Anolis sagrei: one gene and its partners. The protein of the gene in region 2 interacts with the protein of the main gene of each other region in a biochemical or structural test. Links are inferred from orthologs where the notes say so. Each region holds a gene or a part of one and is shown on either strand. Other genes may lie near its edges. The genes, in order: DDIT3, CEBPB, SMAD3 and ESR1.

Region 1 (7,062 bases), on a different chromosome or scaffold from region 2:
ACAGGACTGCTCACATAGCTTAGCAAATGGAGCATCACAGGTTAAGCAAGACATTTATTTCTACCCGGCAAGACAGATATGTGAGGATTTGGTTTCTAGCATTACTTGCACCAAGAATCAGCAGAACATATTTTTTGGGAAAAGATGTGTACCATCAGAGCCAGCTACTTTAGCACAATAGAAGGTGTAAATAAAGCAGTCAGACACCGTTGTATAATGGCAACAGAATCATGGGAGCTTCAATTTTCCAAGGTCTTTCAACTTCTTTGTTAAAGAGTACTGGTGTCCCCTACTCCCAGGATTTCATAACCTTGAACTATGGCAGTTATAGTGGTGTTAAGATGCATTAATTCTACAGAACAGGTGCACCTAGATCTCTTAGCAGGGTCTTCTTCTCTGCAAAGCTGAGCAGGAAACACCGAGTCTTTACAAACCACAGAACCAAGCTGTGCCCTATCTATTCCCTCTTGAAGCAACTAAAGGACCCACAGTTTCATGTGGGTCCTCAGAATATATTCATCTACTGCCATTTGATACCTCTTTAATTGCCATGGCTCAGTGTTATGGAAAGATAAGAGCTGTAGTTTTACAAGGACTTTAACCTTCTCTGCCAAATAGCCTCAGTTCCTCGGCAAACTACAACTGCCTTGATTCCATAACAGTTAAAAGTAGTGTTGAGCTGTATTACTATCCAACTTATAATTGTACATTTTATCAGCATTGGTGTTTTAATCTTTGCTCTATGATTTTTAGCACTTTTTTTTACAATTGTTTCATCAATGTATCTTGTGCCCTGCATCAATCCGTGAAGAGAGCCGGGTAACAAACAACATTTAATTATATATAATAATTAAATATATTAATTTTATTATGTATAATATGTATATTATTTATTATACAATAAATATATTATTAATAATAATGTTATTTGTTATATATAACACATTATAACATTAAATAACAGAGGTGGATAACATTTAGTATTATTAATTATAATAATATAATATATTTATCTTATATATAATGTACTTAGAATATATTATTAATAATGGTATTTGTAATTTATTATAATGTATAACACTGTATCTATATAAATAAAAATGTAATGTGGGATTTTGTTGTTCATTTGTTCAGTCGTTTCCGACTCTTTGTGACCTCATGGACCAGCCCACCCCCAGCTCCTTCAAGGTCAATCCAGTCACTTCAAGGATGTCATCCATCCATCTTGCCCTTGGTTGGCCCCTCTTCCTTTTTCCTTCCATTTTCCCCAGCATAATTGTCTGTGGGATTAACCTAACTCAAAAGCCACTGGGCGAATTGACACCAAATTTGAACACAATACAAGTATCAGGCCAACAAGTGACCATCACTCATAAAAACATTGAAAAACACAGCGGAAGAGACTTAAAAAGCCAAAAATAAAAAATAAATTACAACGCATGCGCAAAACCACATATATACAAACAGACTGGGCCACAGCAACGCGTGGCAGGGGATGGCTAGTAATATATATAATATAATATCAGGATTCAAATGGCTGGCAGGCCTGGAGGGCCTTTGGGTGCATTCACAGTGTAGATTTATTATTAATATATCACAATATTATTAATAGTGATTTATGTACTTATTATTTATATGTCATATTTATTATTATTATTTATTTAGGAGCCCCTGGTGCCACAGTGGGTTAAAGTGCTGAGCTTGTTGACCGAAAGGTCACAGGCTCGAATCCTGGGAGCTGTGTGAGCTTCTGCTGTCAGCCCCAGCTTCTGCCAACCTAGCAGTTCGAAAACATGCAAATGTGAGATCAATAGGTATTGCTCCATCGGGAAAGTAACGGTGTTCCATGCAGTTATGCCGGCCACATGACCTTGGAGGTGTCTATGGACAATGCCGGCTCCTTGGCTTAGAAATGGAGATGAGCACTACATCCCAGAGTCGGACGCGACCGGACTGCATGTCAGGGGAAAACCTTTACCAACCTATATGTCATCATTTATATTATTTATATGTTATGATTTATATTAATATATATTAAAGTATTTATATTATTTGGTTTATATATCAATAATGATGATGATATATTAGTAGTAATGCTACAGTGTGAATGCACCCAAAAGCCTTCCCTCAGTTTGAATCCTGATTACCGCCTTTATTTACGAATTTCTCTCAGGCCCCTTCCACACAGCTGAATAAAATCCCACATTATGCTCTGAACTGGAATATATGGCAATGTGGACTCAGATAACCCAGTTCAAAGAAGATATTGTGGGATTTTCCGCCTTGATATTCTGGGATAGAGGGCTGTGTGGAAGGGCCCTCAGTTTTAGCATGGGGAATCCTTTATTTCTCTCAGGCCCCTTCCACACAGCTGAATAAAATCCCATATTATGCTCTGAACTGTGTGGACTCAGGCAGGAAGACACAATTCAATCTCTCCTGACAGATGGCCATCCAGCCCCTGCTTAAAGACCTTCAGAGAAGGAGACAGACAGATAAATAAATAGAATCCTAGAGTTGCAGTGTGGACTCAGATGACCCAGTTCAAAGCAGGTATTCTGTGATATTATGCTGTGTGGAAGGGCTCTTAGAGGAGAAGAAATAAAAGGCCTAAAAAAGCCCTTCCCACCCTTTAGCTGAAGGAGTTCATGAAGGCCAGGGCCCCCAGGACTTTTCCCTTCATCGCTCCGCACCTTCCTGCGAATCTCCTTCTCGCCTGTGATGCCGCCTCTCTTCTGCTGCTGGCTCTGGCTCATTCTCCCTTCGATGCTCATTCTCTCCTTCCGTGCGCTTCTGCCGGCGTCCAAATGCCAACTGCCTCCTCTCGCTCCGGGGGCCGGGTAGACGTTCGAGCGCGCGCCGCATGACGCAACTCTTGCGCCACGCCGGACCAATCACCGTCGCCGCTTCTTTTCATCCAATGGCCGTCGTCGCCGTCGCCTTCTGGCCCCGCCTCCGCCTGGACTCTTTTTTTTTTTCTTCCTCCCAGCGGGAGTGAGGTGGAAGCTGCCGCGTCGCTCCCGGAAGTGACTTCTCCTCAAGCTCCTCCCTTTTTCTCCCCGCCCTTTCAGGGTCACGAGTCTGGAAGGGGGTGAGTCATGCGAGGAGGGTGATGCAACGGCCTGGCAACCCGAGGCCCGGGCCCTGACCTTGGCCACCCGCCACACTCGCTTGAACGGACCTTCGTGGCTTCTCCTACCTCCCCCACCCCACTGTTTCCGCGGTTTGGAGGCCCAGTTAGCGCGACTGAAGGGGGACTAGGCCTAGCTACGTTAGGAGAGGCCTTCCTTCGGAGAGGCTTTATGACGTCACGCCCCGCCCCACCTTGTGCGTTAAAGGGCCAGGCCTCCCTGGGGAAAGTGTGGCTGCGTTGGGGAGGGGGAGCAGCACTCCTGCCTCCTCAGATCCTGCATATCCAACAACCCATGGAGATGGCTTGTAGTGGTGTGCCTCCATGAAGTTATTGCAGTTTGACACCCTTTATTAGAGGTTTTTCAGGGGCAGACTGTATGTGGTTAATGCTGGAGCCACATCTTATCTATCTATATATAAATTCTCTGTGCATAATGAGTACCTTAAAAACAAAAGAACCAATGAACGAAATCACACCAAAGGAGTGACCATCACTCAAAAATTATGATTTTGTCATTTGGGAGTTGTAATTGCTGGGATTTATAGTTAACCTACAATCAAAGAGCATTCAGAACCCCACCAGCGATGGAATTGAACCAAACTTGGCACACAGGACTCCCATGACCAACAGAAAATATTGAAAGGGTTTGGTGGGCATTGACCTTGAATTTGGGAGTTATAGTTCACCTACATCCAGAGAGCACTGTGGACTCAAACGATGATGGATCTGAACCAACATGGCACAAGCACTCTATATACCCAAATATGAACACAGATGGAGTTTGGGGGAAATAGTTGTAGTCACTGGGATTCACAGTTCACCTACAATCAAAGAGCATTCTGAACCCTACAAATGACAGAATCGAGGCAAACTTCCCACACAGAACCCCATGACCAACAGAAAATACTTAAGGCTATCCAATCCAACTCCCTTCATCAGGGCAAGAAAACATAATCAAAGTCCTCCTTACAAAGAGCCATCCAGCCATAGATATAGATAGATAGATAGATAGATAGATAGATAGATAGATAGATAGATATGATTCACACACAGAGAGATCTAGTATCATAGATTTGAAAGGGACCCTTAAAGAAGGACAATGATATGTTGCATGTTCCTGGGTGGGCAAACCAGACACTGTCCACATCAACACTGACAAAGAAACAGCAAGAAATACTGTACCCACAAGCATAAAAAAATTACAAATATTGTAAACCAGCACTTTCTCATTATTTTCCAGATCAACAGACTGGGCCACAGCAACGCGTGACAGGGGACAGCTAGTTGCTTTATAATCCAGTTTCTGGGCCCTTCTGCACAGCCCTATATCCCAGAATATTAAGGCAGAAAATAATAATAATAATAATAATAATAATAATAATAATCTTTATTTATACCCCGCTACCATCTCTCCAAGGGACTCCGTGCGGCTTACATGAGGCCAAGCCCACAGTACATCAATAACAACAGCAATAACAAAAACAATACAATCCAATTAATATAAATCACATAAACAATAAACAGTAACACGCAAGCATTTGAAAACCAATGGCCGGGCCAAATGTAATAATTTAAAATTTAAAAAATAATGCTGGGCATGAACAAGGTAAGATATAACTGGGATAGGGTTTTCAAAAAGAGATGAGGGAACGCAATCAGTCCTAAATCAGTGGCAAAGTGCATTTTGAGGGCATATTGCTGAGAGTTTTCCTTATTCTGGGAAGGCACACTGGAACAACCACGTTTTCAGGCTCCTCCTAAAGACTGCCAGAGTTGGGGCATGTCTGAGGTCCTTGGGAATGAGTTCCAGAGTCGGGGGGCCACCACCGAGAAGGCCCTCCCCCTCACCAATCGTGCCTGCGAAGGAGGTGGGAGCGCAAGCAGGGCTCTCCAGATGATCAAAGAGATCGTGTGGGTTCGTACACAGAAATGCAGTCACGCAGGTAGGTGGGTCCCAAACCGTTCAGGGCTTTGTAGGTAAGAACCTGCACCTTGAATTAGGACCGGAAAATGAACGGCAGCCAGTGGAGCTCCTTAAACAGGAAGGTTGACTGCTCTGTAAGAAGCACCAGTTAGTAACCTGGCTGCCACCCGTTGTACCAATTGAAATTTCTGGGCCGATTTCAAGGGCAGCCCCACGTAGAGTGCATTACAGTAATCCAACAAACCAAAAATCCCACAAACCAAAACAGTTGTATTGCATCAAAAACAAACAAACAAAACACAAAGTTTGCAGACTTGGTATTCTATTAAATGTCCTTTGACCATTGGAGTGCCTCTGGTGTTGCTGCAAGAAGGTCCTCCATTGTGAATGTGGCAGGGCTCAGGTTGCATTGCAGCAGGTGGTCTGTGGTTTGCTCTTCTCCACACTCGCATGTCGTGGATTTCACTTTGTAGCCTCATTCCTTAAGGTTGGCTCTGCTTTTAACTGGGTTATCAGAGTCCACACTCAGATCATGTGGGATTTTCTGCCTTGATATTCTGGGATATAAGGCTGTGTGGGAGGGCCATAGGAATCCAGATTATCTGCTTTGAATATGATTATTTAATAAGAATAATAGAATCTTTGAGTTGGAGGAGATCTCGTGGGCTATCCAGGCCAACCCCCTGCCAAGAAGCAGGAACACTGCATTCAAAGCACCCCTGACAGATGGCCATCCAGCCTCTGTTTGACTATTAATAATTAAATTGTTACAATTATTAATAATAATATTTTTTCATAGCTCTCTTAATGGCTCAAGGCGGGTTACAAAACAATTAAAATACATAAGCACAGCAAAACACTATAGATACACACACACTAAAACTTACCTCCATAACAGTTACGAACCAAAACGTATCTCTATGAAATACATATTAAAACACAATACCAATTAAACAAAGGGCATGCATTAAAATTCATATTTATGTTTAAAGGCAGTCTGGGAAGGCCTGTCGGAAGAGACAGGTCTTCATTTGTGCCTTAAATTCCAAAAGCAGATTTAGCTGTTGGAGCTCTACCGGCAGATCATTCCACAATCTTGGGGCGGCCAATGAAAAGGTCCCCTGAGTGACAGCCGCTAGTCAGGTTCTGGCTGGTTGGAGCAGACGCCCCCTAGAAGACCAAAGTGTGTAAGGCGGATTGTATGGGAGAAGGCAATCCTTTAGGTAACCTGGACCCAAACCATGTAGGGCTTTAAAGGTCAAAACCATACCTTTATACTTGGCCCGGAAACGAATTGGCAGCCAGTGGAGTGACTTTAGGATAGGTGTAATATGCACACTCCTAGATGATCCGTAACCTGGCTGCCGCATTTTGAACCAGTTGAAGTTTCCAAACTTGGTACAAGGGTAACCCAGTGTTAAGTACATTGCAGAAGTCCAACCTTGAGGTTACCAGTGCGTGCACTACCATCTTCAGGTCCTCCAAATCTAGGAAGGGGTGGTGCTGGCGGTTCAACCGAAGCTGATAGTGAGCACTCCTGACTATTGCATCTACCTAGGCTGACATTTGGAGAGAGAGATCCAGGAGTACTCTTGAGCTGTGAACACAGTAATTCAGGGGAGTGTAACCCCATCCAGAACTGGTTGACACCTCCCCACCCCCAGATCAGGATCTTTGATGGCAAGCACCTCTGTTTTGCTGGATTCAGTTTCAGTTTGTTTTTCCTCATCCAGCCCATTACCTCTCCAGGCATTCATTCAGGGGAGGCATGCTATTCTTAGCTAAAGCTGTTTTTAAAGGCATGGAAAAATATTTTTGGGTGTCATCAGTATACCGATAACACCCTATCCTGTTCCTACAGATTATCTCTCCCAGAAGCTTCATGTAAATATTAAAGAGCATTGGGGATAGAATGGTACCTTGTGGAACACCACATAACAGTTCCATGCTGAGTCCACAGTGCCATATAATCCAGTTCAAAGCACATAATCTGGGTTCAGAAACT
Region 2 (7,265 bases):
ATAAATGAAGAGTTCTGAAGTGGAAAGGGCTTCTGTTTTCCCTGGTCAGTTAAAAACCAAATATTTTAATTTTGACTCTTGGACCCTTCCCTGTTTGTTACTAGACCTCTCATTATTGGAGCGTTTCAATTCATCCTTCTTGAAAGCACACTCTACACGCTTATTCCAAAATGAGTTCAATTACATTTGATGGATCTTAGTTCCTTCCCAGTTTGGTGTCCTGTTGGACTAACAACTCCATCGTTCCCATTTGCCATGACTATGTTTATCTGGCGTAATGGGAGCTGATGTAGTAGTTTGGGGTGTTGTGCTTAAGACTAGGGTTTGAACCTTTGCTTTACCTAGAAACTCAGTAAGGTTCTTGGGCAACTCACACTCTCTCAATCTTGGAGGAAGGAAAAGGAAAACCCTCTCTGGACAAGTCTTTCCAAGAAAAAACAGTAGAAGTCGAAAATTATTTGAAGGTACAAAACAATAGCAATAAGGTTGGTGGAAGACTGCAAGCAAGCATGTTTTGAACTGCGGCCTGAAACACATAAAGGAAACTACGACAAATTTGGTGAACTGGATCCATTTACTTGTGGACTCAGAACAGTTTTTTTTAATTGTGTCAGAAGTGAATTGAGAATATACTGCAAGTCGCTTCTGGTGTAAGAGAACTGGCCGTCTGCAAGGATGTTGCCCTGGGAAGGCCCGGCTGTGTCACCATCCTATGGGAGGCTTTTCTCTTGTCCCTGCATGTGAAGCTGGGGCTGACAGACAGGAGCTCACTCCAACTTGCAGATTCGAACTGCCAACCTTCAGATCTTCAAGTCAGTTGGCACAAGGGTTTAACCCATTGCGCAACCACGGCTCCCACTCAGAACAGTATCTAGCAAGAAGGGCAGAGAGTGCATGCCAGGTATTGCATTTCTCCCCTTCTTCCAAATTCCTGACATCTCCACTCTCCAGGAATAGAATGCTGGGTGTGCCAGTTTCCAATGGGACTTCCTCTTCACCAGAGATTGGCCAAGTTCCTCTTTGAGCTACAGCTACCACTAGACCTTCTCTAGAAAGTAACTTTGCGGAGGCCTCAACATATTGCGACCCACTGGCACAGTGGTCTTAGGTGTATTTCATGAAGTCATAGAGTTGAAAGAGGCCACAAAGGCCATCCAGTCCAACCCATTCTGTCACGAAGGAACATATAATGAAAGCACCCCTGACAGATCGCCATTCAGCCTCTGCTTAAAAACCTGCAGAGAATGAAACTCCACCACTCTCTGAGAAGGCAGCATATTCCATTGCCCATCACTTCCTATTAGGACACATAAATAAATTCCCATTGAGCTTGGTAGGACAACTCTGCCACATGAACAATACTAAAGACAATTCTTATTTTATCCTTTCTTTCTTAAAAAGTAGAACGATGCCAAATTGATGGTGCCTTTTCCAATCTGTGCTCCAAATGGATCTGTCTGTCCAAAGTCACTTGCAAAGATCTCTCCCACATCAAAGAAAACAGACTCTCAGGCAGAGAAGTTGCAACGTTTTCCTCCTTGGATCTTATGCTTGAGGAAATGACCTCCCCCCACGCTCTGCCATCAAACCACATCTTGTTTTTATTTCAGTGGCCCTCGGTATCTACTGGGATTTGGTTCCTATTATATACAACTCACATTATAAACAGGGTAGCCAAAAGTCATAAAGAGGGTTACATATTTAATAACACCATAGAAAAGGCAAAGGTTTCCCCTGACATTAAGTCTAGTCATGTCCGACTCTGGGGGATGGTGCTCCATTTCCATTTCTAAGCCAAAGAGCTGGCGTTGTCTTTGGTCGGCATGATTGCATGGAGCGCCGTTACCTTCCCGCAGAAGAAGTACCTATTGATATATTCACATTTGCATGTTTTTTTTAACTGCTAGGTTGGCAGAAGCAGGAGCTCACCCTGCTCCTCAGATTCAAACCACCAACCTTTCAGTCAGCAAGTTCAGCAGCTCAGCGGTTTAACCTGCTGCACCATCAGGGGACCCCTATCATTCACATATGAAAAATGCATTACATGATGTGGCCCACCCTATGCAATGATATTGGTGTCCATTAAAATGCAAAAACCAAGCTTGGATATACATTTTTGGTCAGATCTATGGATGCAGAACCTGTGGATATTTGGGGGCGGGGCAGATAAGGTAGCAAAATAATGTCTAAATGATAGACAAATGCAAAGACAAAGGTTGGAATAAAATAATATATTTATTTATTTATTATTTGAACTTATATGCCGCCACTCCCCTGGGGCTCGGAGCGGCTTACAAGAACAGGCTAAAATCGAACACAAAAAATTAAACATTGCAACCTTGAATTTTGGAATCATACACCCATATTTCCACCTTGATTTTTGGAATAATTGAATTGAAATATATGTACACACACACACACACACACATTCCCACTTTGATTTTTGGAATATTTGAATATGTATAAACATGAAAGGTTGCAGGTTTGAATCTGGGGAGCGGGGTGAGCTCCCACTGTTAGCCCCATCTTCTGCCAACCTAACAGTTCGAAAACTTGGAAGTGTGAGTAGAGCAATAGGTACCACTCCATGCGGTCATGCCGGCCACATGACTGTAGAGGTATCTACAGACAACGCCAGTTCTTTGGCTTAGAAATGGAAATGAGCACCACCCCCCAGAGTCAGATACGACTCTATCTATCTATCTATCTATCTATCTATCTATCTATCTATCTATCTGATATGTACATACATACATACATACATACATATAAAACATGCATATTCAATTATTCCAAAAACTCAAGGTGGGAACTTGTATGCGTGTACATACACACACAGCATGATTTTTGGAAGAAGTGAATGTGATACACACACACATACCCAACCTTGAGTCTTGATTTTTTGCATTTGTAGATAATGGACACTATTATACTATCCTATACAGAATGGAATAGTGGCAAGCTGAGGAGAGTTGCAAGTAATGACAGTGGTCGCAGGTTTGAATCCGGGGAGTGTGGTGAGCTCCTGCTGTTAATCCCAGCTTCTGCCAACCTAGCAGTTTGAAAACATGCACATATGAGTAGATCAATAGGTACCGCTCCATGCAGTCATGCCGGCCATATGACCTTGGAGGTGTCTATGGACAATGCTGGCTCTTCAGCTTAGAAATGGAGATGAGCACCACCCCCCAGAGTCAGACACGACTGGACTTAAGGTCAGGAGAAAACCTTCACCTTTACCTATCTATCTACCTATCTATATATAAACGTGCATATTCAATTAGTCCAAAAAATCAAGGAGTGGGTGTGTTGAATAACGCATATTCAATTATTCCAAAAATCAAGGTGGGAATTTGTATCCGTGTATACACACACACACACACACACACATGCTGGCACACACACATACACACCTTGATTTTTGGAATAAGTGAATGTGATATACACACACATACCAAACATTGAGTCTTGATTTTTTGCATTTGTAGATAATAGACACTATTATACTATCCTATACAGAATGGATACACACACACACATACACACACACATGCTGGCACACACACACACACCTTGATTTTTGGAATAAGTGAATGTGATACACATATACAGACATTCCCAAACTGAGTGGGTGTGTATACATATAACGCATATTCAATTATTCCAAAAATCAAGGTGGGAATTTGTATGTGTGTATACACACACACATGCTGGCACATACACACACACACCCCTTGATTTTTGGAATAAGTGAATGTGATACACACACACACATACCAAACCTTGAGTCTTGATTTTTTGCATTTGTAGATAATGGACACTATTATACTATCCTATACAGAATGGATATATATAGATATATATAGATATATATATATATATACACACACACACACCTTGATTTTTGGAATAAGTGAATGTGATACACATATACAGACATTCCCAACCTTGAGTCTTGATTTTTTGCATTTGTAGATAATGGACACTATTATACGATCCTATAAGTGGCAATCCGCGGAGAGTTGAGCCCGTGCGGGTTCAGAGACCTCGGAGGCGGTGTCCCGGGACGGGAGGCGTCGCCAAGAGCTGGGGAGCCTCCCCCTTGGGCCAGCCCTCTGCGCAGGCGCAGTAGAGGCGCGCCGGGCTCCTTGGGCGTCCCTCCTTCTGCAAGGAAAGGAAGGAGGGAAGGCTTGAGGAAAGCAGGAGGGAGGCGGGCGGCGCGTGCGGGCCCGTGACGTGTGGCGGTTGCCATGGGACGCGCCGCCCCTATAAAGACCCGCGCGCCAAGGCACTTTCCCAACAAAGTCCAGAGAGGAGGAGAGCAAAGAGGAGAAGGAAGAGGAGGAAGAGAAAGGGAAGGAGGCAGCGTGAAACCTTGGGAGGAAAGGAAAGAGCAAGGGAGAGGGAAGGACGAAAGAGAGGGTTTAGAGAGAGGCGGCTCCCCTTCCCTCCCTCGCTCCCTCCCTGCGTGGACTCGGGGCTTTGGGAGCTTTCATGAAACGCCTGGTGGCCTGGGACCAGGCATGCCTCCCTCTCCCGCCCTCGGCCTTTAAATCCATGGAAGTGGCCAACCTCTACTACGAGACGGACTGTCTGCCGGCGGCCGTGAGCAAGCTGCACGCGCGGGGAGGGCCCGTGGGGGCCCCGCGGCCCATGTCCGAGCTGAGCCTGGGCGAGCACGAGCGGGCCATCGACTTCAGCCCTTACCTGGACCCGCTGGCCTCGCAGCACCCGCACCAGCACGCGCCTCCTCCACCCGCGGCCACGGCAGGGGGCAACTTCGAGCCGCTTCCCTCCGGCAACAACCACAACAGCAGCAGCAGCAGCAACCCGGACTTCCTCTCCGACCTTTTCTCCGAGCAGGACTACAAAGCCGGGAAGAAGCAGCAGCACCAGCAGCAGCAGCAGCAGCACCCCGACTACACCTACATCAGCCTGGCCAAGCATAGCCACCACCCGCACCTCCACCAGGGCCAGAAGGCCTCTCTCTTGGGCTGCTTCTCGCCTCACATGGTGGAGACCAAAGTGGAGCCCGTCTTCGAGCACTTGGACTCGTGCAAAGCCGGCCCGCGCAAGGAGGACGCCGGCGGGGGAGGCGCGGCGGCCCTCGGGGGCCTCTCCTCGCCTTACGGCAGCGCCGTCCGCTCCTACTTGGGCTACCAGTCGGTGCCCAGCGGGAGCAGCGGGAACCTTTCCACCGCCTCTTCCTCCAGCCCGCCGGGGACCCCCAACCCTTCGGATTCCTCCAAGTCCGGAGGCAACCACTACGCGGCCTCGGGAGGAGGGAGCAACGGCGGCGGCGGGAAGAGCAAGTCCAAGAAGTCCCTGGACAAGCACAGCGAGGAGTACAAGATCCGGCGCGAGCGCAACAACATCGCCGTCCGCAAGAGCCGCGACAAGGCCAAGATGCGCAACCTGGAGACGCAGCACAAGGTGCTCGAGCTCACCGCCGAGAACGAGCGGCTCCAGAAGAAGGTCGAGCAGCTCTCCCGGGAGCTCGGCACCCTCCGGAACTTGTTCAAGCAGCTCCCCGAGCCCCTCTTGGCCAACGCCGGGCACTGCTAGCCCGCGGAGACTCGGCCTCCCTTTGGACTCCCTGCTGGGAAAGGGATTGGGGAGAGGAGGGGGGGGGGCAAAGGATGCCAAAAAGAGAAGCCAAAAGGGCTCTTCCTCCTCCAGAGTGGAATGCAGAAACAGAGGCTGGAGGGCCATCTGTCGGGGGTGCTTTGAATGCCATTTTCCTGCTTCTTGGCAGGGGGTTGGACTGGGTGGCCCATGAGGGCTCTTCCAACTCTGTGATTCTATGGAAAAGTTTGGGGTTTGTGGATTTGTTGTGTTGCCTTTCTTCCTGCCTTCCCTTCTTCTCCAAGGAGGCCTCCTTTAGACTACTTTCTCAAACTCTTCCCGGCCCAGCATGTTGGACTTCAGCGCCCAAATTCCCCGCACATTAGTCCTGGGAGCTGAAGTCCAAAGCGCATGGCAGAGAGAAGGTGATAGTATGATAGCTGGGTCCGAAGCTCTGAGCCTTACGCTGTTTCTGCTCCTTTGGGAGCACTGTTTGCGCAACGCAGAACAAACACAGATATTATAGAAGGAATGTAAGAGTTCTTTAATGGTAAAACCCTAACCCTTATGCAAAACCTTACCCTTACCCCTAATCCTAGCCCAAACCCTAATCCTAACCCAAACCCTAAACCTTACCCTAAGCCTAGCTCCTAACCCCTAATCCTAACCCTACCCCAAACCCTAACCCGAAACCTTATCCTAACTCTCCCCTCCTTTCTGTCCTTCCACCAAATGCAACTACTAAGTATATTCCCAGCGTCAGTGTTCTGCTCTCCCCTTCCCTTATCCGCATCCGCCATTGCGGAATGTGCACAATGCTCAGAGCTTCCGGACCCAGCTATCATACTATCACCAAGAGAAGTTTGTACATTGTGGAATTGATTCAGTTCAATGTGTTGTCAAAGGCTTTCGTGGCCAGAATCACTGGGGCCCCTTCCACACAGCTGAATAAGATCCCACGCTATCTGCTTTGAACTGGATATATGGAAGTGTGGACTCAAATAACCCAGTTCAAAGCAGATATTGTGGGTTATTCTGCCTTGATATTATGGGAGATAAGGCTGTGTGGAAGGGCCCTGGGTTGCTGGGTTGCTTTCCCAGGCTGTATGGCCATGTTCCAGAAGCATTCTCTCCTGACATTTCGCCTGCATCTATGGCAGGCATCCTCAGAGGTGGTGAGACCTCTGGAACATGACCGTTCAGTCCGGAAAACTCACAACAACCCAGTGGTTCAGTTCAGTTGGAGACCACTTTTGACTGCCATGGCTCGATGCTGCTAGAACCTGGGAGCTGCAGTTTCCCAAGGTCTGCCAAAGAGGAGATTAGCACCTTAGGGAGTTGAGCATGTATCAGGCCAACTTGAGCCTGCCAGGTGTTTTGGACTTCACCTCCCACAATTCCTAACAGCCTCAGGCCCCTTCCTTTTCCCCCTCAGCTGCTTAAGCGGCTGAGGGGGAAAAGGAAAGGACCAGAGGCTGTTAGGAATTGTGGGGCTTGAAGTCCAAAACACCTGGAGGGCCCAAGTTGGCCCATACCTGATCTACACACTGTAGAACTAATAATAATAATAATAACAACAATAGCAATAATAACTTTTATTTGCTATCTGCCTCTCCTCACAGCTTGAGGCAAGTAAAGACAGTGGAGTTTCCATCTCTGGAGGGTTTGGATGGCCATCTATCAGGAGTGCTTTGGTTTAT
Region 3 (7,923 bases), on a different chromosome or scaffold from region 2:
TGATAAATGATTTCCACTCCAGTGAGAAACTTCCCATCAATAAGATGAAGTATCATAGCAAGGAGGATAGAAAACAAGGTTGGGACCATAACACAAAATAACACGTTATTTTGCTTATTGTTTTGATTTGCTTTGCTATTGTTGTGTTATGTTCTCTATTGTATTGTGTTTTGAGGCTTCGGCCTGTGTAAGCCGCATCGAGTCCTTCGGGAGATGCTAGCGGGGTACAAATAAAGTTAATAATAATAATAATAATAATAATAATAACATCCCTGTTTGACACCTGATTCCACCTTAAATGGGAGATGTAGTTTGATAAGGTCTGTAGCTTTCTCTCTTGAATAGAGAAGGCAACATCAAACTACATCTTCCAGGGTTCTGTAGCATTGAGCCCTGGCAGTTCAAGTGGTGTCAAACTGCATTCCTTCTGCAATGCAGGTGCACCCTTCGACCTCGTAAAACTACAACTCCCAGAATTCCATAACACTATGGTGACTGAAGTGGTGTCAAACTGCATTAATTCTATGGCATAGATATGTTACCCTATGTCTTCAAAGCCCAGCCATGCAAACTATTTTGAATCACTAGCTATTGACTGACTCCAGAAATCCTCCGTCCCATAAAAATGTCCAAAAAATGCAAATGTGTTCCTGGAGTAAAGACTCTCCTTTAATCTGCATCCAGCAGACAAGGAACAAAGAGTCATTACAGGGCAGATTCAGGAAAACAGGGCTCCATTCATAAAAATAAAAAAATATATTGACTTGTGAAAGACTTTGGGGTAGAGCTTTTTCACCCCCGCTCCTTGTTCTTTAAACACTCTCTCGGATATGGAATGCCCAGTTCGAGAAGGAAAGGGAAGATTTTTTAAACAGATGTGTTTTGGCGAGGCAGCGAAGGCAAACACTGAAATTATATGGGAGGAACAGACGGTTGTGTGCAGGGATTACGCAAAAAGAAGGGAGTGAGAGGAAAGAAGGAAGGAGAAAGCAAAAAAAGTCAAGGCAGGCAGAGAGGGAAGAAGAGAAGAGAAGAGAAGAGAAGAGAAGAGAAGAGAAGAGAAGGAAAGAAAGCAAGGAGAGAGGAAGGAAAGGAAGGAAGGAAGGAAGGAAGGAAGGAAGGAGGAAAAAAGCAAAGGAAGGCAGAGAGGGTAGAAAAGAAGGAAGGAAGGGAGAAAGGAAGGAAGGGAATCGAATCAAATTTCCTTTCCTTTATTTTTGGGGCCAAGAATTGATCCCTGAATGCATGTTGTCCCTTGCCATCCGCATTCATAGGCTGACCATTTCGTAGCTGATTGAAGAACATTGTTTCCACTCCACTTTTATTTATGTGTTAAGAGACATATGTGGGTGTGTATAAATGTGTGTGTGTGTGTGAGATACACACACACACACATACACACACACACACACATACATATAAGCTAGACACATAAAACCATTTATTAGGATCTCCAAAGTTTAGTTAGTTTTGTTATTCCGGGGCTGGGCAGCTCAAATTCTCCGCAAAAATATTAGCTTTATTTTAAGTGCTTTTCCAATACATCAGCTGCGGAGAATGGCAATGCACTTTTCCATCTCAAGGCCCCAGAGACTTTGCGTATATTCGTATTTTGCAGAAAATGCAAGCTCTAGGAGGTGCTGAAAAGCCGTCCTCGTCATTGAAAAAAAAGGGCAAAAACACTTCGATTTACATAATCCCCAAAGGCACCGGCCAAAAAAGAAAAAAGGGAGTCCAGACGGTGTAAAAGTAGGACGGTTCTATCCTTTTCCTTCTCTTCTGGTGAAGTTTTCCATTAGGAAAGTGTCCAGAAACTCATTGCAAGAAAGCACCGCTGTCTGGGGAAAGGACTGGCCAACCTTTTGGGATAGGAAACTCCACAGCCCTTTGAAGGTCCTTGGACTGAAAGTCCCAGCAGCCATGACCAAACATAGGTTAAGGGAATGCTAGGAGTTGTAGTCCATCTACATCTTTGATGGGTGGGGGATGTTTCTCACTTTGCTGCATTTGCAGGTCAATCATATAGTTTGCAGATATTTCTTATCTGCCACCACCATAGAAATGAGACCCAAATGGAGTCCTTGTTGTTTCTTTATGCTCGTTTAAAGTTGTTAAGAACTTGTTTAGGGTTGTTCAGGGTTTGTTTTGCACATTTAGTGCCTTTTTAAGATTGTTCAGGACCAGTTTTGCCCATTTGGTGCCTTTTTAAGGTTGTTCGGTGCCTGTTTAGCGTTGCTCAGGGCCCATTTTGCCCATTTGGTGCCCTTTTAAAGTTGTTTGTAGCCTGTCTAGGGTTGTTCGGGGCATGTTTTGGCATTCAATGCCTTTTAAAGGTTGTTTGGAGCTTTTAAAAAGTTGCTCAGGGTCTGTTTTGCCCATTTGGTGCCTTTTTAAGGTTGTTCGGTGCCTGTTTAGCATTGCTCAGGGCCCATTTTGCCCATTTGGTGCCCTTTTAAAGTTGTTTGTAGCCTGTCTAGGGTTGTTCGGGGCATGTTTTGCCATTCAATGCCTTTTAAAGGTTGTTTGGAGCTTTTAAAAAGTTGCTCAGGGTCTGTTTTGCCCATTTGGTGCCTTTTTACGGTTGTTTGGAGCCTGTTTAGGGCTGTTTGGGACCAGTTTTGCACATTGTCTTTTTAAGGTTGTTTGCAGCCTGTTTAGGGTCCTTTTGGCCCAGTTTTGCCCATTTGGTTCCTTTTAAAAGTTGTTTAGAACTTGTTTAGGGTTATTCAGGGTCTGTTTTGCCCATTTGGTGCCTTTTTATGGTTGTTTGGAGCCTGTTTCGGGTTGTTTGAGGCCACTTTTTCCCATTTGGATGGAGACCAAGTGAGGGAAATGACCAGCTGTTAGGGGCTGTGGGAATTGAAGTCCAAAACACCTGGAGAGCTGACGTTTGCCCATGCCTGGTCTAAAATCAGGTTGTCTACTTGAACACAGAAGAAGAAGAAGAAATAATAATAATAATAATAAGGAGAATGAGAAAGTTAAGTTGGAGGAAGAAAGCCAGAGAGAGAGAGAGAAAGCAAGAAGGAAGAAAGGTGAGAAAGGAAGCAAAAGAAAAGCGATAGCAAGTAGAGAATGAAAGACGACACAAAAAGAGAAAGAGAAGAAAAGGGGAAGGAAAAGGGGAAAACAAAAGAAGAAAAGATAGAGAAGAAAGGAAGCAAGCGAAGGAAAGTAAAGAGGAAATGGAGAACGAAAGATCCAAAAAAGAGAAAGAAAAGACGAAAAAGAGAAGAAGGGGAAAACAAGAGACGAAGGAAAGATAGAGAAGAAAGGAATGAAGCAAAGAAAGAAAAGGGGAAATTGGGAACGATAGACAATAGAAAAGAGAAAGAGAAAAAGAAGGAAAAGTGAAGGAAAAGGGGGAAGTCAAGGTGGGAAAGGAAGAGAAGAAAAGAAGGTCGCCAAAGAGAGAGAAATGATCAAGAAGGAAAAGAAAGTGAAACAACACAATAATAAAAAGGGAGCTGCAAAGGAAGAGAAAGGGTTTTTGTTGTTCATTTGTTCAGTCGCTTCTGACTCTTCGTGACCTCATGGACCAGCCCAGGCTAGAGCTCCCTGTCAGCTGTCACCACCCCCAGCTCCTTCAAGGTCAAGCCAGTCACTTCAAGGATACCATCCATCCATCTTGCCTTTGGTTGGCCCCTCTTCCTTTTTCCTTCCATTTTCCCCAGCATCATTCTCTTCTCTAAGCTTTCCTGTCTTCTCATGATGTGGCCAATGTACTTCATCTTGGTCTCTAATATTCTTCCCTCCAATGAGCAGTTGAGCTTTATTTCCTGAAAGATGGACTGTTTGGATGTTCTCGCGGTCCAAGGCACTCTCAGAACTTTCCTCCAACACCACATCTATATTCCTTCACTCAGCCTTCCCTATGGTCCACCTCTCACATCCGTAGGTGACTACAGGGAATACCACTGCTTTTACTATGCGGATCTTCGTTGAAAGGGTGCTGCTCCATTATCTGGGTGGAAGCCACAAGGGGGCAATGGAGGGAAAAGGATAGTCCATTTTACACGAGGGGGCGGGGGTGGCAGATTGAAGGAGTAAATCTATTTCCTCCAGTGTTATCCCCCTTACCCATGTTGCTGTTGTTATGACATGGGAAGAATGGAAATGGGACGGAAATAGTTTCCGCCCTACAATTCCCCCCTTGGAAAATGGACTATCCTTCTCTGCCTGGCACCCCCTTGTGGCCTCCGCTGGGATAATAAGAAAGTGAATGCGAGAAGAGATAGACCAGGCATGGGCAAACTTCGGCCCTCCCTCCAGGTGTTTTGGACTTCAACTCCCACCATTCCTAACAGCCTACCGGCTGTTAGGAATGGTGGGAGTTGAAGTCCAAAACACCTGGAGGGAGGGCCGAAGTTTGCCCATGCCTGGTCTATCTCTTCTCGCATTCACTTCTCGCATTCACTGGCTGTTAGGAATGGTGGGAGTTGAAGTCCAAAACACCTGGAGGGAGGGCCGAAGTTTGCCCATGCCTGAGATAGACAAAAAATGAGAAGGAAGCAGAAAGGGAGGAAGAAAAAGGGAGTTCAAAACAAAGAGAGTGAGCAAGGCAAAAAAGTGAAAAGAAAGGAAAACAAAGGAGGTGGGAGAGAGGGAGAGAAGCTAAGAAGAGACAAAGAGAAGGACCAGCAAGTTGAACAAAGGGAGGGAAAAGGAGAAAGTATAAAAAAGGGAAAGAAGAGAGAACAAAGGAGGGAAGAGGAAGGAGAGAGAGAGAAAGGAGGTCGAGAAAGGGAAAGAGAGGGAGGCAGCGAAGACAGGAGGAAGAAAGCAAGAGAGAAAAGGGAAAGCAAGGAGGCAGCCTCCCCCTCCCCTTTTTGCTCAGACTAGAAAGGGGAGGGGGAGGGGAGAAGGGGAGGGGCTTGCCCAAGCCACGCCCCCCTCCTCCGCGTGGGAGCCCCTCCCTCTGCCGCCGCCGCCGCCGGAGAAGTCGGGACAAAGTTTTGGAGCTGGAAGAAGAGAAGGAGAAAGAGATAGAGGAGGAGGAGGAGAAAAAGAGAAAGGAGGAAGAGGACGAAGGAGAGCTTCGCTTCGTCCGCCTTCGGAACTTGGAGCCCCGAAGGAACCCGCCGGAGTTTGGCCTTCCCCCTCCCTCACTCCTCTCTTTCTTTCTTTCTTTCTTTCTTTCTCTCGCTCTCCTTCCCTTCCCCTCCTCCTCTTTCCTTCCTTATATTTCCTCCTTTCTCTCTCTTTCCTTTCTCTTTCCTCTCTTTTCCCTTCTCCCTCTTTCCTCCTTCTTTTCTCTCTCTTTCTTCCACATTTCTCTCGCTCTCCCTCACTTCTCCTCTTTCTTTTTCTCTCCTCCCTCCCTCAATCTCTTCTTTTCTCTCTACCCCTCCGCTCTTTCCCTTTCCTTCCATATTTCTCCCGCTTTTTCCTCTTCTTCTTTTCTTCCTCTCTTTCCTTCCCTTCTTCCTCTTCTTTTCTCTCCCTTTCCTTCCTCCCATACTTCTCTCTTTTTCCCTCGCTCTCGTCTTCCTCTTCTTCTCTCCTTCCTCCTTCCCTCGCTTTCCTTCCTTCCCTTCTTTGCTTGTTCCTCTTCTTTCTCCTTCCTTTCACTCCTTCTCTATCCTTCTTTCCATATTTCCCTCTCCCTACCTCCTTTTTTCCTCTTCTTCTTTCCTTCCTCCATCTGTCTCTGTATTTCTCTCTCCCTCCTTCGCTTCATCCTCTTCTTCTCTCCTTCCTTCCTTTTTCCTTTCCTTCCACCCTCTCCCCTTTCTTCCCCTCCTCCTTCCCCTCCTTTTCCTTCTATCCATATTTCTCTTTCCCTCCTTCTCTTCTTCCTCTTTCCTCCCTCCCTCCCTCTTTCCTTCTTTATTCCCCCTTCCTCTCCCTCTTTTTTTCTCCTTCTCTTTCCTTCCATATTTCTCTCTCCCTCCTTCACTTCTTTCTTTCCTCTCCCTCTTCTTTTCCTCCTTCTTTCTTTCCTTACATATTTCTCCCTCCTTCGCTTCTTCCTCTTTCCTCCCTCCCTCTCCTTTTTCTTCTTTATTCCCCCTTCCTCTCTCTTCTTTCCCTCCTTCTCTTTCCTTTTCCCCTTATTTCTCTCTCCCTCCTTCACTTCTTCTTTCTTTCTTTTCTCTCCCTCTTCTTTTCCACCTTCTCTTTCTTTCCTTCCATATTTCTCTCTCCCTGCTTCGCTTCTTCCCATACTTCTCTCTTTCCTTCCCCTCTTACTTTCTCTCCCTTTCCTTCTTTCCTCTCCTCTTTCCATCCACATTTCTCTCCCCCCCCCCTCCTTTGCTTCTTCCTCTCCCCCTCCTCCTTTCTCTCTCCTTCCTTTCTCCTTCCTTCCTTCCCTTTGGCCAACATGTCTTCCATCCTGCCCTTTACGCCTCCCATCGTGAAGCGGCTGCTGGGCTGGAAGAAGGGCGAGCAGAATGGGCAGGAGGAGAAGTGGTGCGAGAAGGCGGTCAAGAGCCTGGTCAAGAAGCTCAAGAAGAGTGGGCAGCTGGACGAGCTGGAGAAGGCCATCAGCACCCAGAGTGGAGGCACCAAGTGCATCACCATCCCAAGGTGGGCCCCGTGCACACACAAACAGAGCAGGGTTGCATCCACAGTAGGCCTTGGCCAACTTGGGCCCTTCCAGGTGTTTTGGACTCCAACTCCCACCATTCCTCACAGCCTCAGGCCCTTTCCTTTTCCCCCTCAGCCGCTTAAGCGGCTGAGGGGGAAAAGGAAAGGGCCTGAGGCTGTGAGGAATGGTGGGAGTTGGAGTCCAAAACTTTGGTTTTGCAGGAGGGTTATCCAGCTATAGCACATTTTCTAATAGTTTTTCTATGAATCTCTCATCATTGAGTCTCAACCGATGCAAACTACTTTGTGGCAGCCACGAAAACAGAGTTTCTGGAGTGCAATAACTTCTTTCAAAGTCAGGACCACACAATTAAACAGGAAATAACACTTTCAAACCAGGAAAATAACATTTTAAAAGTTTGTTACGTAGTGTGACGGATTTGATTCCAAATGTCCTCTAGGAATCTCTAGGGCATGTTGATGTCATGCCTTTGAGGCCTGCCTCCTTTTGTGCCATGGTCATACCATTTTTCTAAGAGTCACACAATATATGTAACATAGGTAAAAGTAAAAGTTTTCCTCTGACATTGTCCAGTTGTGTCCGACTCTGGGTTGTGGTGCTCATCTCCATTTCTAAGCCGAAGAGCCGGCATTATCCGTAGACACCTCCAAGGTCATGTGGCCAGTATGACTGCATGGAGTGCCGTTACCTTCCCGCTGGAGTGGTCCCTATTGATCAACTCATATTTGCATATTTTCGAACTGCTAGGTTGGCAGAAACATACAACACATTACGGTTGTAATACATGTATATACCTATGTATGGTGTCCCCGGTAGCACAGCAGGTGAAACAGCAAAGCTGCTGAACTTGTTGACTGAAAGGTCGGCAGTTTGAATTTGGGGAGTGTTGTTGAGCTCCCACTGTTAGCCCCAGTTCTGCCATCTATTTATTATTATTACTATTATTGACATCATTATTATCACCATCATTATTATTGACATTATCATCATCATCATTATTTTTTATTGTTGACATTACTATTGTTACTCTTATTATTGTCATCATTGTTGATATTTTTATTATTGTTACATGTACATGCCTGGCTGAGGGGAGTTGGACTAGATGCCCTTTGGGGACCTCTTCCAATGGAGTCTCCTCTAGAATTTTTTGAACTGAGGTTGAGTGGCCATCTGTTGGGAGGGCTTAGACTGTATCTACTTACCTGGCTGAAGGGGGTTGGACTAGATGCCCTTTGGAGACCTCTTCCAGTAGAGTCTCCTTCTCTAGAATTTTTTGAACTGAGGTTGAGTGACCATCTGTTGGGAGGGCTTAGACTGTGCCTACCTACCTGGCTGAAAGGGATTGCGTTGGATTAGATGCCTTTATGGAG
Region 4 (8,150 bases), on a different chromosome or scaffold from region 2:
GCAGAGAGTTCCACTGCTGAACGGCTCTCACAGTCAGGAAGTTCTTCCTCAAGTATCTTTTAAATGGTGTTACATTTTAATTTATATCCTAGCCTAATGTAAATGCTGTGGTTATGTGGACAGATGATTATAAGATGGAATTCTATACTGGTTACCAAGCATAAATAAAGATTTGATAAAGAGCACTTCCTGACCAACCTAAGATTAAATGGACTATGAAATCAGGATTTGAAACCCACCTAAGCTATAGAAATCCATTGGGTAACCTTGGGCAAACCGCATTCTCTCACTTTAGATGAAGCGATGGCAAATCTCCTTTGAAGAATGTTATTGCAAAAAAAATAGACTAAGGCAGGGGCACTGTAAATCAGAGTTGAATTAAAAGCATATAACAACAAGAAGAAGGGTAGCAGTGAAATAGTACATATTCCAAATATAGTCTACTCCATTCAAATGCTATATTTAAGGCATCAGACAGGCATATGAGTGTATGCTTAATCATTAATTTTAATGTGAGGTTCCATTAGGTATTTATATCACCATAAATTGGCAGCAACATAAAAACTGCAACATTGCACATTTGTATTCTCAAGAGGGGAGCAAAAGCGTAACTACGTTTCTGAGACCATTGGAGGAATGGAATCAACATCATGGATCCCATTGAGCACTGGGCACTTGATTGCTATGCAACAGAAACCATAATTGTGCAACAGGGCAATGTGTAGAAGTTCATGATACACATCATCACAATTCATTTTAAAAGGTTGTATGTTTTAAATTGTGGGTGGGACAGAGAGCTTTCATTCCAGTGTGTTATTATAACATAAAACTGGGTCTCAAGATGGCTAATCTGCTCACTGTCTGAAACCATTGTTTCACCTCTCAAAAAAGAATGTTTTTCTATTCATCTACAACACACACACACACCATAGTGTTGTAACACACATACATAACAAAAATCTAGTTTAAACCACAGCCCTATTTAATACATTAGAATATCCAACTAAACCAACTATTAATGTATTCTTTTTCATAGTAAATTATTTAATAAATTAAAATGTCAATTGATTAATACTGAAGTCTGAAGACATAAGCTATCTGAAATGATTACAGGTTTAAGGTAAAGTAAAGGTAAAGGTTTCCTCCGAATGTATTCTCCCCTACGAACCATCAAGACCACTAAGATCGTCTGGAGGGGCCCTGCTCTCAGTCCCTCCGCCTGCACAAGCACGGCTGGTGGGGATGAGGGACAAGGCCTTCTCAATGGTGGCCCCTCGACTTTGGAACTCCCTGCCATTAGAGATCAGAACTGCCCCCTCCCTCATGACGTTCAGGAAACTAACAAAGACCTGGTTGTGGAACGCGGCATTTGACAACTGATTTAATTCTTTGCCCACATGAAAGGAGGATGATGAATGGGATTGTGATGGTGTCGGACGATTTGGCTCTTTTAACTGTGATGATAATGTTTTAACGTGTATAGTGCTGATATTTTAACCGTGTAATGAAGTGGCATTGTGTTGTTATTGTATATTTTTTGTATGTTAACACATGTTGTGAACCGGTCCGAATCCCTCTTTGAAGGTGAGAGGGTCGGTATATAAAACCTCGAAATAAATAAATAAATAATAAATAAGTCTAGTTGTGTCTGACTCTGGGGGTTGGTGCTCATCTCCATTTCTAAGCCGAAGGGCCGGCATTGTCCGTAGATGCCTCCAAGGTCATGTGGCCAGCATGACTGCATGGAGCGCTGTTACCTTCCCACCAAAGCATTACCTATTGATCTACTAACATTTGCATGTTTTTGAACTGCTAGGTTGGCAGAAGTTTGGGCTAACAGCGGAAGCTCACCTCACTCCCTGGATTTGGACCACCGACCTTTCGGTCAGCAAGTTCTGCATCTCAGCAGTTTAACCTTATTACAGGTTTAGATTGTGTAAAATCACATTTCCTATTTTTTTCATTGAGAGGTGGCTACCCTCTTTTTTTAAACTAAGGCACTTTCTGTATAAATTCAAAAACTTTCTTCTTATCCAACAGTCAGCTTGGTCCAATAAAAATGTTCATGTTTTGTGTCTCATATTTGGGGTGGAGGAAATATGTCATTGCATGTTAAGACTAATAATATATTTGGGGAAAGGGGAAACCACCACATTGCACAAAGAAAATATATTCAAGAAGACATAATATTTAACAAACTCAAAACATTTACACAAAATTATATGAGCAGTAAAATTCTACCATATCAATTTTAAAAATGTAGCCAAAGCTAAAAGAGAATGCTCAAATAGGCAGTAGGTATAGATGAATAAATGAATAATTTTTTAGCCCTCAAATTCAAAATCATGCTGCATTAAAATGTTAATACATTTTTCTTTGATAGTAAAAATGTTTTATGACTACAGAAGTTTTTTATCATTCCCCAAGCCCCTGTTACAACTTGCAGAGTGTGACTTAATGTCCTTTTAAGTGAAAGGTGCTAATCCTCTGGTTTAAGGCTAGAGTTATTTAGGAATAAGAGAAAACTGCCTTCAGATTGAAACCTTATGTGCAGTTGGTCAAAATGAGATCATGTGATCCTTGCTGTAATCACTTCCTCTTTAGATCCCCGATTGGTTACAGTGGGGGCTGTGGAGGGGGGTGGCACACAAATCTCCAGCAAATAGGAACTGCCGTGCTGTCGGAGCAAATACAGAAGGGAAATTCCTGCAGTGGGCACCTCTGTACACATTTCATAGCATTTCAAATGAATGCCCTTCTCTCTTTTTCCCTTCTTTCTTTTTATGCCACGTTTACACTATGCAAAAAAAATATATTAAAGGACTTCACAAATAAAAGCGACCTTGGGAAAAAGACAGCTGTAAAGAAAGCTTTTTAATTATTTCCCCGGGCACCAGAGTTTATGCTTAGCACATTGAAATGGCAAAGAGCAATAAAAAGGTGAGCATTTGAAGAGCAGAACAGGAAAAGAGCTGAGCTATTTTGACTTACTTTTATCCCAGAAAGAAGTTTCCATTGCTCCTGTGGTCCTGCAATTGGCTGACAGGGTCATGTGACCTTGTAAACGAAAATAGAAAAGCCTCGGCAGAGTGAGACCGAAGGAAGAGAAGGCAGAGGGAAGACATGAACTTTAAAACACACAAGTCATGCCAGCTGTGTTGGCACGCCTATTATGTAGAGCAGAGTTCAGTCTCCTTGCATTTAAATGGGGACATCCAATAAGGAAGATATCTCTCAGTGATAACCCGAGAGGACCTTACTTTTCATTCTCCTCTTGACTCTGAGATGTAGATTTTATTCCCCTCCCCTATTTATATACTAATATTGTTGCTGATGTATTAGGGAGAATTATATGGCCTGCATGACTCACTTCTCAAGAGCATGTGTTCCCTGGTTATGATTCTGATGTATTGCAAAGTCAACAACTGACAACCATATCTATTTCTCACATAACAGCTATTATGTTTTAACCACAATTTATCATTGAAGTGAAAGTTTAAAACTTACCCTTTAGTATCACATTATGCCCGATCTCTGCTGACACTAAAATGTAGCTTTGAAATGACTAAAAAACCAAGGCAGCTACTAAATGCATGCCAGTAATACACTTCAGTGTGTATTTAAGGGCATACAGCACATTAATGAAAATTGCAGGAAAGTTTGAATTCAGTAAAAAAAAAATGGTACTGCAGCAAATGCCAGCTCCACAAAATGCAGCACAAACTGTAGACACTCGACCATACTGAAACACATTAAAAAGATCCCAGAACAGGGGCTGCCGAGAAGCACCCCAAGGGCATGGTTGGGCAGCATGGGGCTAACCCAGCCATGGGCAAACTTGGGCCTTGCAGGTGATTTGGACTTTAACTCCTACCATTCCTAACAGCCTCAGGCCTTTTCCGCTTAAGCGGCTGAGGGGGAGAGCCTGAGGCTGTTAGGAATGGCAGGAGTTGAAGTCCAAACCACCCGCAGGCCCCAAGTTTGCCCATGCCTGGGCCAGTCGGTACCCTGGGAGGGGTAACTGATTATCTTTGCCTCTGCCTGTTCCTTTTTTTTTCCACCCTGTATGCCTCCAGAGGATGGATGCACATCTCTCTGAGAATTTGGGAGGGGGGGGGGGCACAGAGTGGTTTAAGTCCAGGTTCTGTGTTTAATTTAATCATTTTCCTGGTCTCAAATCGGTTCCAGACTAATCCAATCTAATCACTGCAGAGTGAAACTGGTTCCTCCCAAGCTCCACCTTGTAGTTTAAGATCCACCGGGGAGGCCCTGCTCTCAGTCCCACCAGCCTCGCAAATGCATCTGGTGGGGACGAGGGACAGGGCCTTCTCGGTGGTGACCCCTCGCTTGTGGAATTCACTCCCCAGCAAGATTAGATTGGCGTCCTCCCTCCTTTAGGAAAAAATTGAAATCGTAGTTATGGAACAAGGCTTTTAGCTAGCAGGCACAATGGTACTTTGGACATTGAATTGGACCATATGATGATGGTTATAATAATAGAAATGGCTACTATGACTGTTTAATTCATGTTATTGTTTTAATCTATTGTGTATTTATGGTTTTTGTATTATTGTATATTGTGATATTATGACATCAAATTGTTGCCAATGTTAGTTGTTCTGAGTCCCCCCTCGGGAGTTGAGAAGGGCAAGGTAGAAATGTTGTAAATAAATAAATAAATAAATGTGGTAGTGTAGATGTGTTTTATGACTTATTCTTGCACTTCTTTTCTTTTTTCACATTATATTAGCACTACCTGATACATGTTCACATAGTAGGTATTGGATTTTAATTCAGTATATTAATGCAGCTCTAAACAACAGACATAGGTTTGTCTGTACAGGTTTCTTACATCCAATCTAAATAAATTTAAGCAGATATTCATATGCTTTCTAATTCTAATATTACTTCTTAATGAAGATTTCTGCATTTATAAAAAGAAATGCCTTCCAAATTGTCTCTCACCAGTAGAATAATAAGACATGGAGACATAATGTGGTAAGTCTCAGGCAAAGATTCAATAATCCCTGTTCAAATTACAGTTTACTGCCTTGTGTGGTAAAGCCCATAGTAAGCATATTACAGTCATCCTTCCACATTTGCTGTTTCGACTTTTATGGATTTGATTATTCATAGATCTGAGAAAAATTATTCACAGATTTGAATTCTTGGAAATCACTATCTCCTTCAGTGTAACCTTCCTCATGTTATGCTTGAAGATCTTGAGCAGTGCTTCCCAAAGAGTGCAATATTGCCCCCTGGGGGCACTGGAATGATCCGTGAGAGCAGCAGTAGCCTGGGTGCAATGGGGGCAAGCACTTAATAAAAAATAAGGCAGAAGAGGCAACATAAAGATCGAGGAAAATTTTGAAAAACCAGTCATACACGTGTCATCTGTTGTGTAACACAGAGTTAAAGTCGTAATGATTACTTCATTTCCCAAATGAACACACAAAATGCAAGTTCCAACTGGTCACTAGTCAAGTCTGCCGGCGGATCTTAACAGGCAAGTGTTAACAGGCAAGTGCACACATCTGCAAGAATACATTTGTATGAAGACTTGTTATAGAATATCATAGTTCACTACTTAATAGTCACACTTTTCCCCACCTATGAGCTAGCATATGAAGAAGACCCCATGGGCCTCCTCTGCTGGCACACATAGGCAAACAGAACTTACAGGACCTCCTTTGGTTACCGGCAGCTGAGGGAGACCTCATAGGAGTTGCCCACTGGTGTGCATGGGCAAGTGAGGCCTACAGGATCTCCTTTGGCATCTGAGAGAGACCTCATAGGCATTGATCACCCACATGCGACAGTGGGTGAGAATTACGGAGTCTCCTTTGGCTGTTGCCAGCAGCTCACCCACTCACACACCTGCCGAACAGAGCTATGCAGTGTGACCATTAGTGATCACACATAATGATGATGATAATAATAATAATAATAATAATAATAATAATAATAATAATAATTTTATTTCTTACTCGCACCTCCCCATGGCTTGAGGCAGGTCACAGCACAGTAAAAAACATATGAATACTATGAAAATTCTACAAACACACATATTATAATACAGTTCCATAAAAGAGGTAGATAAAACATTTGTATAAAATGCACATTAATCACACAGGACAGAGACAGAGGCAAAACAGGACATGACTTTAAAATTGATGTTTTCAGCTTTCTGAAAGATACAGGTTTTTAGATGGTGTTAAAATTTTAACAGCTGATCTAGCTATCAGAGCTCTTCCAGTAGGTCGTTCCACAGTCTTGGGGCAGCCAATGAAAAGGTCCTCTGGGTGACAGTGGCCAGTCAAGTTCTGGCTGGTTGGTGTAGCCACTCCCATCCCCCAACCAGAGGACCAAAGCATGTGGGGCAGATTGTACTGGAGAATGTTTCTCCTTGACATTAAGTCTAGTCATGTCTGACTCTGGGGGAGGGGGGGTGCTCATCTCCATTTCAAAGCCAAAGAGGCAGTATTATCCATAGACACCTCCTAGGTCATGTGGCCAGCATGATTTCATGGAGCGTCATTACCTTTCTGCAAAAGTGGAACCTATTGATCTACTCACATTTGCATATTTTTGAACTGCTAGGTTGGTAGAAGCTGGGACAATAGCAGGAGCTCACCCCGCTCCCCGGATTTGAACCACCAACCTTTTGGTCAGCAAGTTCAGCAGCTCAGCGGTTTAACCCACTATGCCACTAGAGAGTCCTGTAGGTAACCTGGACCCAAACCATAAAGCAAGTTCTTTAAAATGCATCTAGACAGCCTCATAAAATCATCAAATGTCTGGAAAAATATTAAGGTTAAATTTTCAGTGCAAATGTTCACACAGTTGATTTAAATATCCTGTTGGAATAAATCCATAAACATTTTAAAATCCAATCTCTTCTTGCAAAGATACATGGTGTAGTAAACAACCCTTACCCTTTTTAGAGAAGTATACATTTGTCGAAATTGAATATCCAGATGGCAGATGTTTTTCAGTTTACTGCCATGTCTGTGTGGAAATTACTGTATAAATCAGTAATGCAGACAGTATGCATTGTCTGACCTAAACTGATCTTTTATTTACTAATTTTCTCCAATTAAGTAGTTAAAAAGTTATCCCATCAACATAAGCACAGTTCAGACTGGCAAAAAAAAAATGGCTACAACTACATTGGTTACAGCAATTGGATTGCAGCCTGCATGAGGTCTGCATGTCACTGCTGGACAATGAGCACAACCATCTGGCCCACTGCTGAAGTACCCTGGGATAGCAGCGATGGACTCAAAAGCTCTCCTCCAACAGGGAGCAATGGGGTTTCAGTCAAAGCTTAAGCTACAGCAGACCTGCTTACTCCCCCCCCCCCCCCACACACACACCCCAAACTGCCTGAGTCTAGGTCAGTGTTTATCAACCTCGGGGTCGGGACCCCTGGGTTGCGAGGGGGGAGTCAGAGGGGTCGCTAAAGACCATCACACAACACAGTATTTTCTGTTTGTCATGGGGGTTCTGTGTTTCTTTCATTCTCTCATTGGTGTTCAGAATGCTATTTGATTGTAGGTGAACTATAAATCCCAGCAACTACAACTCCAAAATGGCAAGATCTATTTTCCCCAAACTCCACCGGTGTTCACATTTGGGCATATTGGGTATTTGTGTCAAGTTTGGTCCAGATCCATCATTGTTTGAGTCCACTGTACCCTTTGGATGTAGGTGAACTACAACACCAAAACTCAAGGTCAGTGCCCACCAAACCCTTCCAGTATTTTCTGTTGGTCATGGGAGTTCTTTGTGCCACATTTGGTTCAATTCCATCATTAGTGGAGTTCAGAATGCTTTTTGATTGTAGGTTAACTATAAATCCCAGCAACTACAACTCCCAAATGACAAAATCAATTCCCCCGCTCCCAACCCCAACAGTAATCAAATTTGGGCATATCGGGTGTTTTTGCCAAATTTGGTCCAGTGAATGGAAATATATACTGCATATCAGATATTTACATTACAATTCATAACAGTAGCAAAAATACAGTTATGAAGTAGCAACAAAAATAATGTTATGGTTGGGGGTCTCACAATAATAATAATAATAATAATAATAATAATAATAATAATCTTTATTTGTACCCCGCTACCATCTCGATGCGGCTTAC

Evidence for each region.
Region 1: the proteins of CEBPB (region 2) and DDIT3 form a complex in vitro, tested with the Homo sapiens proteins (2 studies listed by BioGRID and IntAct, with this or other methods). The link is inferred for Anolis sagrei from reciprocal best matches to the Homo sapiens genes CEBPB and DDIT3.
Region 3: the proteins of CEBPB (region 2) and SMAD3 form a complex in vitro, tested with the Homo sapiens proteins (2 studies listed by BioGRID and IntAct). The link is inferred for Anolis sagrei from reciprocal best matches to the Homo sapiens genes CEBPB and SMAD3.
Region 4: the proteins of CEBPB (region 2) and ESR1 form a complex in vitro, tested with the Homo sapiens proteins (2 studies listed by BioGRID and IntAct). The link is inferred for Anolis sagrei from reciprocal best matches to the Homo sapiens genes CEBPB and ESR1.

What each region holds. Positions count from the first base shown.
Region 1 is NC_090022.1:185,996,720-186,003,781, forward strand, and holds the start of DDIT3 (DNA damage-inducible transcript 3 protein), read right to left. Parts: upstream 3,144-7,062; 5' UTR 2,630-3,143; intron 1-2,629. UniProt on the Homo sapiens protein: Multifunctional transcription factor in endoplasmic reticulum (ER) stress response. Plays an essential role in the response to a wide variety of cell stresses and induces cell cycle arrest and apoptosis in response to ER stress.
Region 2 is NC_090024.1:222,094,270-222,101,534, forward strand, and holds the start of CEBPB (CCAAT/enhancer-binding protein beta), read left to right. Parts: upstream 1-4,246; 5' UTR 4,247-4,494; coding exon 4,495-5,565; 3' UTR 5,566-7,265. UniProt on the Homo sapiens protein: Important transcription factor regulating the expression of genes involved in immune and inflammatory responses. Also plays a significant role in adipogenesis, as well as in the gluconeogenic pathway, liver regeneration, and hematopoiesis.
Region 3 is NC_090029.1:24,707,557-24,715,479, reverse strand, and holds the start of SMAD3 (mothers against decapentaplegic homolog 3), read left to right. Parts: upstream 1-4,898; 5' UTR 4,899-6,325; coding exon 6,326-6,531; intron 6,532-7,923. UniProt on the Homo sapiens protein: Receptor-regulated SMAD (R-SMAD) that is an intracellular signal transducer and transcriptional modulator activated by TGF-beta (transforming growth factor) and activin type 1 receptor kinases.
Region 4 is NC_090021.1:72,370,493-72,378,642, forward strand, and holds the start of ESR1 (estrogen receptor), read right to left. Parts: upstream 3,068-8,150; 5' UTR 3,053-3,067; coding exon 2,992-3,052; intron 1-2,991.